Linked DNA regions of Xenopus tropicalis. The protein of the gene in region 1 purifies or fractionates together with the protein of each later gene. This does not show direct contact. Links are inferred from orthologs where the notes say so. Each region holds a gene or a part of one and is shown on either strand. Other genes may lie near its edges. The genes, in order: rcc1l and trub2.

Evidence for each region.
Region 2: the proteins of rcc1l (region 1) and trub2 purify together in Homo sapiens (affinity purification with mass spectrometry; 3 studies listed by BioGRID and IntAct, with this or other methods). This does not show direct contact. The link is inferred for Xenopus tropicalis from reciprocal best matches to the Homo sapiens genes RCC1L and TRUB2.

What each region holds. Positions count from the first base shown.
Region 1 is NC_030678.2:101,942,126-101,946,515, forward strand, and holds the start of rcc1l (RCC1-like G exchanging factor-like protein), read right to left. Parts: upstream 2,990-4,390; 5' UTR 2,859-2,989; intron 2,490-2,858; 5' UTR 2,468-2,489; coding exon 2,189-2,467; intron 1,196-2,188; coding exon 1,066-1,195; intron 684-1,065; coding exon 555-683; intron 126-554; coding exon 59-125; intron 1-58. Other genes in the region: cep97 (centrosomal protein of 97 kDa), read left to right, coding at 4,024-4,057. UniProt on the Homo sapiens protein: Guanine nucleotide exchange factor (GEF) for mitochondrial dynamin-related GTPase OPA1. Activates OPA1, by exchanging bound GDP for free GTP, and drives OPA1 and MFN1-dependent mitochondrial fusion. Plays an essential role in mitochondrial ribosome biogenesis.
Region 2 is NC_030684.2:3,160,369-3,164,940, reverse strand, and holds the start of trub2 (mitochondrial mRNA pseudouridine synthase Trub2), read left to right. Parts: upstream 1-1,492; 5' UTR 1,493-1,648; intron 1,649-3,355; 5' UTR 3,356-3,401; coding exon 3,402-3,519; intron 3,520-3,698; coding exon 3,699-3,830; intron 3,831-4,572. UniProt on the Homo sapiens protein: Minor enzyme contributing to the isomerization of uridine to pseudouridine (pseudouridylation) of specific mitochondrial mRNAs (mt-mRNAs) such as COXI and COXIII mt-mRNAs.

The DNA.
Region 1 (4,390 bases):
ATTACTATATTTCCTCATTTTAGCAAATTTGCAGAAAGGACTAAAAATACAAACTTACCTATATATTTCTCCTTCAATAACCTCTCGTGCACACTGCCCGTAAGAGTTATTTCCCAAACTGAAAACTGCAAAATAAATGGCAAATTTATACATGCGAAAAGGTTTTACAACCATCTAGAAATCAACTGAACCTCCCAAGCTGTAGCTGTCAGGAAATTCTGAGTGCTGCAGTATAACAATATTTTAAGGCAGAACAATCTGCTTTTAGTGTAGTTAGCTTCTACAGCTTTCTCTCAGTCCTTCTCATTAAGCCTGGCTGTTGTGACTAGGATACAAAGAATCTTTTCTATCCAAGGTTGTTCTAACACTCCTGTTTGGCATTATCAAATAAATCCCAATAGCCAAATAGTAGGAAGCTAAAGCTCACTGTGTATCGAAGCAAAAGTCTACAGAAGAAGCCATATTCTTTGTTGTTTTTACTTTTCAGAACAATTCTAATTGTGACCATATCAGTTCTACTTTAAAAGTACAGATAATGCAATAGTATTGGTTACCTCCTTCTTTGTCTGTCAAAATGAGCGAATGTGCCCGGCCACAAGACACCTGCAACACTTTGGTCTCTTGGGGCTTATCCAATGGTAATGGGATAGGAGATGGCTCCAGAATGTACTCATATCCTTTAGCTTACAAGAGACAAATAATTGCATGTCATTACTTCTACTAATAAAAAAACAAATCATTTTTGGAAAAGAGACTTGTGCTGGTAAGATTAAAATGTTAATGTTGGCAACAATACCCTTTAGAGCAGTGACACACAGGGAGATTAGTCGTGCCGCGACAAATCTCCGTTGTTGCGGGTGACTAATCTCCCTGCAATGCCATCCCACCGGCTAGAATGTAAATCGCTGGTGGAATGGCATACATGGCACCGCAATTCGCTTTGAGAGGTATTTTTGCCAGTAGGATTAGAAAATGACATCCAATGGAATCTGTTAAGCATGCTCAATGCCCAAGGAACAGTGAGGTTCACACAGTGTGGGGAAGAGATAGTATAGTATTACTCACTTCGATCTCTTCTGCTTCTATGAAATCCAATTTGTGAATCCTTATTCAACCCCATTCCCCAAATCTTTGTGATGTTAGCAGTTTTTGAAGATAGTAAAGTGAATCCATAGCCACAAGCCGCTGATGAAATCTACAAATGCATATAAAAATTAATTATTGTTAGAAAAAAAACATTGGTTCTTTGCAACTTTCATATTACAGTATTCGTATATTTTTTTTATATAATACTTTTTATTATTTAGACAACACAACAACTTGCACATTTTAATTTAGCAATCACATCAGAATAGTACAGTAAGGAAGTATGAGAAAGTTTGCTTCACTTGAGTTCAGGGCATATACAAGTCTTTAGCAATTGCTGCCATAGGTAATGTAGTGGTTACAGGTGTTATAAGAGATAGTGGTCTTTAAAAGCAGGAGCTGAATTCGGTCAAGTATCCAGTGATTGGGTTGATTTGGAAGTTATATCACACCAGCAAAACTTTGTTAAATTTAATTTGCGTGAACCCCTGATCTTATATGCAAACTTAAATCGGGGGACCAAGTTAACTATCTGGTTCCAGGCTCATAAAACAACTGGAATAATATTTTAATGGCCTTGATGCAAAAGTGACAACTAAGAAGAAAAATTATTTTATATGGAATTCCTGTTAGACCATCTTCCTCTTTTACTACCTCACCCCGTCAGTACAACCTGTTGAGAGGGAATGTTACCCAGGTAAGAATAAGGGAAGTTGATTTGTGTTTACTTTTAGTAGAGTAATGATTAAGTTAGAGAGTTGCATAAACTGCAAGTAATTTGCAGTTTATAGGATGCTACCCACCCACCGCCATACGGCTACCCCAGCTCAACCCTGCCTGCTGCTTTCATTTATAGAACAGCATCGCCCAACCTTCTTCAGTCTTCATACAAAAGTATGTAAATAAAGGAGGCACAGCAGACAGGGTCTGGAGAATCCCTTTAGGTTTAGTACAATACTTCTCTATGAGGGAATTACTAAATTGGTAATTGGTAATTTTCTGTATTACTACATGTTGGTAATAAAGGGGAAATTGATTGGTAAATTAGAGATGATTGTTATTTTTCTAAGTAGATTATACATAAGCTTCCCCTATACCTCACCTTTTCATCCATATCCAACCTGTAGGGCGTTAGCTGGAATTTTTTTGGTTTCTTTCTTCCGGTCTCAGGGATGACAAAACTGGGGATGCCCAATGCTCCTGTGTGAGAAAATCCCCAAACGAATACCCGCTCCTTCCTTTTTGCTCTCTCGCCCACATACTGAAACACTGGAAGTTCATCTTGTTCTCTGCTCTTGCTAACTTTGGCAGACAAATGTCTCTGAAGGTGACCTTTGCATTTCAGAATACAGTGGCCTCTGAAGAACAATGAAGTCCACATTTGTAGGTGGTTGTCATGAAACCTATGTCCAGGGATACATAACCCATATAATTAACACACTTGAGATTTTACTGCATTTTATTACAAAGAGGTGATCTGATGCCTTATCTGTGTACTTGAAAAGGTTTGTGCATGATCCCACAGCTTTCTGTCTATTAGTGAGCTATAAGTTTCATCATCCTAACAGAGAATGCTGAGCCCAATATTGCAATATACTACTGAAGGGCCCAGAGCACATTGATGTCCCTTTACCCAGATTGCTGGAAGGGTAGTACTTGATTTTAACTTCATACCTATGGACAAGAAGCGTGACTATATCAAACCCCCACTTATCCCTTTGGTGCCCTGTACAAGAACATAATTGGTCAGTTCATCCCTTTCATTATCACACCTGCAAAACTGAAGCGTTGCCGGAATGCATTAATATTACTGCAGTCCTGAATGCGCTTTCTTCTGCACGTGTATTCCCATCAGCAGTCCTACATTCTATAACCCCATCATTATTCACGCCCCCCCCCCCCCGATCCTTGCTCCTCCCACTTCCTCCTGTCTTGGTCATTGCCATTTACCCTCCTTACTGTATTTTTCATTTTTAGCTGTAGCGTAGCCCCGCCCAAAACTTAGCCAATCTTAGTTAGCCAATCTAAGTTAGCCAATCATAGTCTGGTTTACAGTTATTCACAAGAGAGCTCTTCTAAGCTATTCGCTAGTTCCAAAAGAGGAGGAGAAAACATGATAAAGCAGTAGCTTCCGGGAAGGGCCAAGTAAACAAACGAGCTAGCGAGGAGGGAACTGCAGATTCGTAATTCTAAATAGGAGTCGTTTTGTGCTTTAATCATTAAATTTTGGAGCCGTTTATTCTTTGAGAGTGGGGGGTTACTGTGCTATTTTTTTTAATTGGTCACTTTGCCATTCTGTGCAAAGGCTCTGTGTATCAGTCTCTTCAGAGGCTAGCTGTGCCATGTAAGATTGGGGGGAATTGTTCCAGTCCACCTTTCCAAGATATGACCAGTGAAGTGTCGATGGCGTCATTAAGATCGGCGATGGAACAGGAAGTGCAAGACACAAGCGCTGTGTTAGAGAGCTTTCTCTTTAGTGTGTAAAATTCAAGGCGGGGCCTAAACACTGGACTACAATCCCCATAACCCAACGCTTCATCCATAGTGACCGTTTAACTGACAACGCTGAGAAGAGGGAACATATCGCTACCGTATGTATTTTTTCTTTCATGTTGTACTAATTGCATATTGAGATAAGCAGGCTTCTTCCTTTTGTACCTGTTGTGGGGAAGCCCTAAAGTATGTTCTTTGTTGAACTGACAGTTATGCATTTAGTACACAATGTGTGTATAGCAGTGGAAGCCCTGGATACAGGTATAAGCCCACTTTATACATTCTTTTTTTTATACATTTTAGAATGCTGAGAATAAGCATGAAATACTTTTTGAAATATAGTGAATACATTATTTATTGATTTGCAGCTAAATGACACCACTGTAGTCCCACTGTGGCAACATACGTGGCTGATCGAAGCTAAGATAAAGGAACCCAGCTGATATGGCAGTGGCACATTTGGCTTGCGAGAGTCAAGGTAAGTAGCAAGTCTATTCACCAGTGTCAGCAAGAGATTATCAGTCTACCCTCCATAGGGTGCCCATCTTGTCTAGGCTTTTCTATCTCTGCTGGCATTCTACCCTATTAAAGGGCACCTCCACCCAAAACTTGTGCATTGAAAGAAATTCTAAATCTAAGCAGCTTTCCAATATACAATTTTGTTTTTTAATATAATTTATAAATATTCTAATACTACTACTGAATGCAATATCTGTCTGGCTGTTTATATTCTATGAACAATCCAAAAAACAAAGAATACATAGGACTCAGGTGAATGAAGTAGAATTTTTACCCATAATATTAAAGGGTC
Region 2 (4,572 bases), on another chromosome or scaffold:
TGTAACAGCAGCTATAGCCCTACTATACCCCAGTACCCTGTAACAGCAGCTATAGCCCCACTATACCCCCAGTACCCCCTGACAGCAGCTATAGCCCCACTATACCCCCAGTACCCTGTAACAGCAGCTATAGCCCCACTATACCCCCAGAACCCCCTGACAGCAGCTATAGCCCCACTATACCCCCAGTACCCCCTGACAGCAGCTATAGCCCTACTATACCCCCAGTACCCCCTGACAGCAGCTATAGCCCCATTATACCCCCAGTACCCCCGTGACAGCAGCTATAGCCCCACTATACCCCCAGTACCCCGTGACAGCAGCTATAGCCCCACTATACCCCCAGTACCCCCTGACAGCAGCTATAGCCCCACTATACCCCCAGTACCCCCTGACAGCAGCTATAGCCCTACATTTCTGCCACAGGTTATCGGGCAAAGAGAGATTTATGTTATGGCAAACTTTGGGTTCAGCCTCAACCGCACTTGCCGGGAAGCATTTTCTAGAGGCAATAGAGAAATACTGCCCCCTGGTGGCCAGGCTATAGAATGTGGGTGTTTGTATTTGCCAAGCAGTACATTTTGAATAAATCCTCTGTCAGGCTTAGAAGAACCTGGGTTTATATTTCTATTACCTGTAGCAGGAAGTGTTAGTGCACGCTTAAATACATCCCCAACTGGCAGCTAAATGCAGATTTCTGTACATTGGCATCAGTCGGCCACATTCCAACCATGGGGCAAGGGAAGTGCAACTGCATTCAGATAGGTGTCTGTCTGGGACACATTCAGTCCAATGGAATTCAAACACATGGAAAGCTAGGGAGTTGTTCACACTGACTAAATCACCTCGTGAAGCTACTGGTCAAACTAAGCTCAGCTTTAAGCCACACAGAAATCCCAGGTAAGTGTATAATGGGTTAAAAAGGAGCACATTTTTATCCTAAACTCTGCTTGCCGGTTGCTACAGTTTCAGTGACCCTAGCAACCAGGTTGCAAAGGTATTTGGCGCAGGTCAAAAACAAAAATACAATAGAAAGAGTGCCGCACATATATATTATATATATTAGCAACTACCTACATTTGCTATTGATAACTGAATATCCATATATCTATATATCATATGTATATATAATCTCAAAAAAGAAAAAATATATATATATTTGTATATCTATACATAATATATAGGGAGAGAGCCTAGCAGGACAATGACAACAGGAAGCCATAAGAAATGGCAGCTGAGGTATGTTATACACAGGCCCCCAGATAGATCAATGGATAAAAGCCCCCACTATTCCCACCACTAGACCCCTGTTTGCCCACATACATCCTTGTCCAGCAACCTTTCAGCAGACATAAAACAAAATCTCATAAATTGAACAAAAGTTATCTGTAAAATTTACCTGAGACTGCATGGGTGGAGCAATATGGCGCCTAACGCCCCTCAATCTATGAAACCTCCGCCATGTTGGTGCTCCCAAAGGCGGCGGAAACACGTGACGGTGCAGAGGCGGATGTTTATGGCGGCGCCCGTAAGCGGCATGAACTTGTGTTAATGTGACAGGCCGAGCTGAGGCTGCTGGGATTGGGGAATTGAGCGGCAGGTCCGACTGAGCCACTGCTGGTTATCCCTGTCACAGAGCCGCTTGTGTGTGAGTTCCTCTCCGTCACAGGGTTTCCTGGGGGTATTAACCCTTACTGTGTATTAGCCTGCACTTTGTATTTACCCCCAGTACCCCGGAACTATAGCACTGTTACCCCAATGTCTCTATATATCTGTAACCTTGTTATGGGCTAAGGGGGCCCAGCCTGAAGGCCAGTTAGGGGGGGATTTGGGGTGAGTGCTTATTTGTGCCCTGGGTACCTCTGGAACTATAGCGGGGTGACTGTTACCCCAATGTTTCTATATATCTGTAACCTTGTTATGGGCTAAGGGGGCCCAGCCTGAAGGCCAGTTAGGGGGGGATTTGGGGTGAGTGCTTATTTGTGCCCTGGGTACCCCTGGAACTATAGCGGGGTGACTGTTACCCCAATGTTTCTATATATCTGTAACCTTGTTATGGGCTAAGGGGGCCCAGCCTGAAGGCCAGTTAGGGGGGGATTTGGGGTGAGTGCTTATTTGTGCCCTGGGTACCCCTGGAACTATAGCGGGGTGACTGTTACCCCCAATGTTTCTATATATCTGTAACCTTGTTATGGGCTAAGGGGGCCCAGCCTGAAGGCCAGTTAGGGGGGGATTTGGGGTGAGTGCTTATTTGTGCCCTGGGTACCCCTGGAACTATAGCGGGGTGACTGTTACCCCAATGTTTCTATATATCTGTAACCTTGTTATGGGCTAAGGGGGCCCAGCCTGAAGGCCAGTTAGGGGGGGATTTGGGGTGAGTGCTTATTTGTGCCCTGGGTACCCCTGGAACTATAGCGGGGTGACTGTTACCCCAATGTTTCTATATATCTGTAACCTTGTTATGGGCTAAGGGGGCCCAGCCTGAAGGCCAGTTAGGGGGGGATTTGGGGTGAGTGCTTATTTGTGCCCTGGGTACCCCTGGAACTATAGCAGGGTGACTGTTACCCCAATGTTTCTATATATCTGTAACCTTGTTATGGGCTAAGGGGGCCCAGCCTGAAAGCCAGTTAGGGGGGGATTTGGGGTGAGTGCTTATTTGTGCCCTGGGTACCCCTGGAACTATAGCGGGGTGACTGTTACCCCAATGTTTCTATATATCTGTAACCTTGTTATGGGCTAAGGGGGCCCAGCCTGAAGGCCAGTTAGGGGGGGATTTGGGGTGAGTACTTATTTGTGCCCTGGGTACCCCTGGAACTATAGCGGGGTGACTGTTACCCCAATGTTTCTATATATCTGTAACCTTGTTATGGGCTAAGGGGGCCCAGCCTGAAGGCCAGTTAGGGGGGGATTTGGGGTGAGTGCTTGTGCCCTGGGTACCCCTGGAACTATAGCGGGGTGACTGTTACCCCAATGTTTCTATATATCTGTAACCTTGTTATGGGCTAAGGGGGCCCAGCCTGAAGGCCAGTTAGGGGGGGATTTGGGGTGAGTGCTTATTTGTGCCCTGGGTACCCCTGGAACTATAGCAGGGTGACTGTTACCCCAATGTTTCTATATATCTGTAACCTTGTTATGGGCTAAGGGGGCCCAGCCTGAAGGCCAGTTAGGGGGGGATTTGGGGTGAGTACTTATTTGTGCCCTGGGTACCCCTGGAACTATAGCGGGGTGACTGTTACCCCAATGTTTCTATATATCTGTAACCTTGTTATGGGCTAAGGGGGCCCAGCCTGAAGGCCAGTTAGGGGGGGATTTGGGGTGAGTGCTTACAGTTTATAGTATAATAACCACGTTACGGGAATCATCATTGCGCTTTGCAGAACATGAAGTGATTGGGTGGAATCATGGCCCAATTCGCCCCTGGGGTCTTCCGCACGTTACACGGGCTCTTCGCTGTGTATAAACCCCCCGGGGTTCACTGGAAGTCGGTGCGGGATACAGTGGAGACAAATCTGCTGAAAGGTAAGGTGCATTGGTGGTGGGGGGGTTATCTGCACGTTTATTATTATTAATGGGACTGGCCATATTGCACCAGACTAATATAAATTGTTAGATCCCTGTGTTGCTGGGCGGGCAGCGTTGGTCTAATTACAGAAGCCCGGATGGGTCAGTGTAACATTGTTTTTGGGTACACTTTACAGAACTGAATGCGCTAAAGCAGCGAGCCCCCCGACAGCAGATCCGATTCCTGCCGGCGGGTACAGAAGGGAGCAATGGGCTGGAGGTAACCAGAGTCCCCAGCGCTGTCCCAGTCCTGGCTGATCATGTCCTGGGTGAGTACCGATTGGTTCCCAGCGAGTATCTGTATTGGGCCCTTCCTACTTCCTTCTCCCCCTTCCTGCCTACCCTTTGCCCCCACTTCCTACTTCCTTCTCCCCCTTCCTGCCTACCCTTTTCCCCCCCTTCCTACTTCCTTCTCCCCCTTCCTGCCTACCCTTTTCCCCCCCTTCCTACTTCCTTCTCCCCCTTCCTGCCTACCCTTTGCCCCCCCTTCCTACTTCCTTCTCCCCCTTCCTGCCTACCCTTTGCCCCCCCTTCCTACTTCCTTCTCCCCCTTCCTGCCTACCCTTTGCCCCCCCTTCCTACTTCCTTCTCCCCCTTCCTGCCTACCCTTTGCCCCCCCTTCCTACATCCTTCTCCCCCTTCCTGCCTACCCTTTTCCCCCCACTTCCTACATCCTTCTCCCCCTTCCTGCCTACCCTTTGCCCCCCTTCCTACTTCCTTCTCCCCCTTCCTGCCTACCCTTTGCCCCCCCTTCCTACATCCTTCTCCCCCTTCCTGCCTACCCTTTGCCCCCCCTTCCTACATCCTTCTCCCCCTTCCTGCCTACCCTTTTCCCCCCACTTCCTACATCCTTCTTCCCCTTCCTGCCTACCCTTTTCCCCCACTTCCTACATCCTTCTCCCCCTTCCTGCCTACCCTTTTCCCCCCACTTCCTACATCCTTCTTCCCCTTCCTGCCTACCCTTTTCCCCCCACTTCCTACATCCTTCTCCCCCTTCCTGCCTACCCTTTG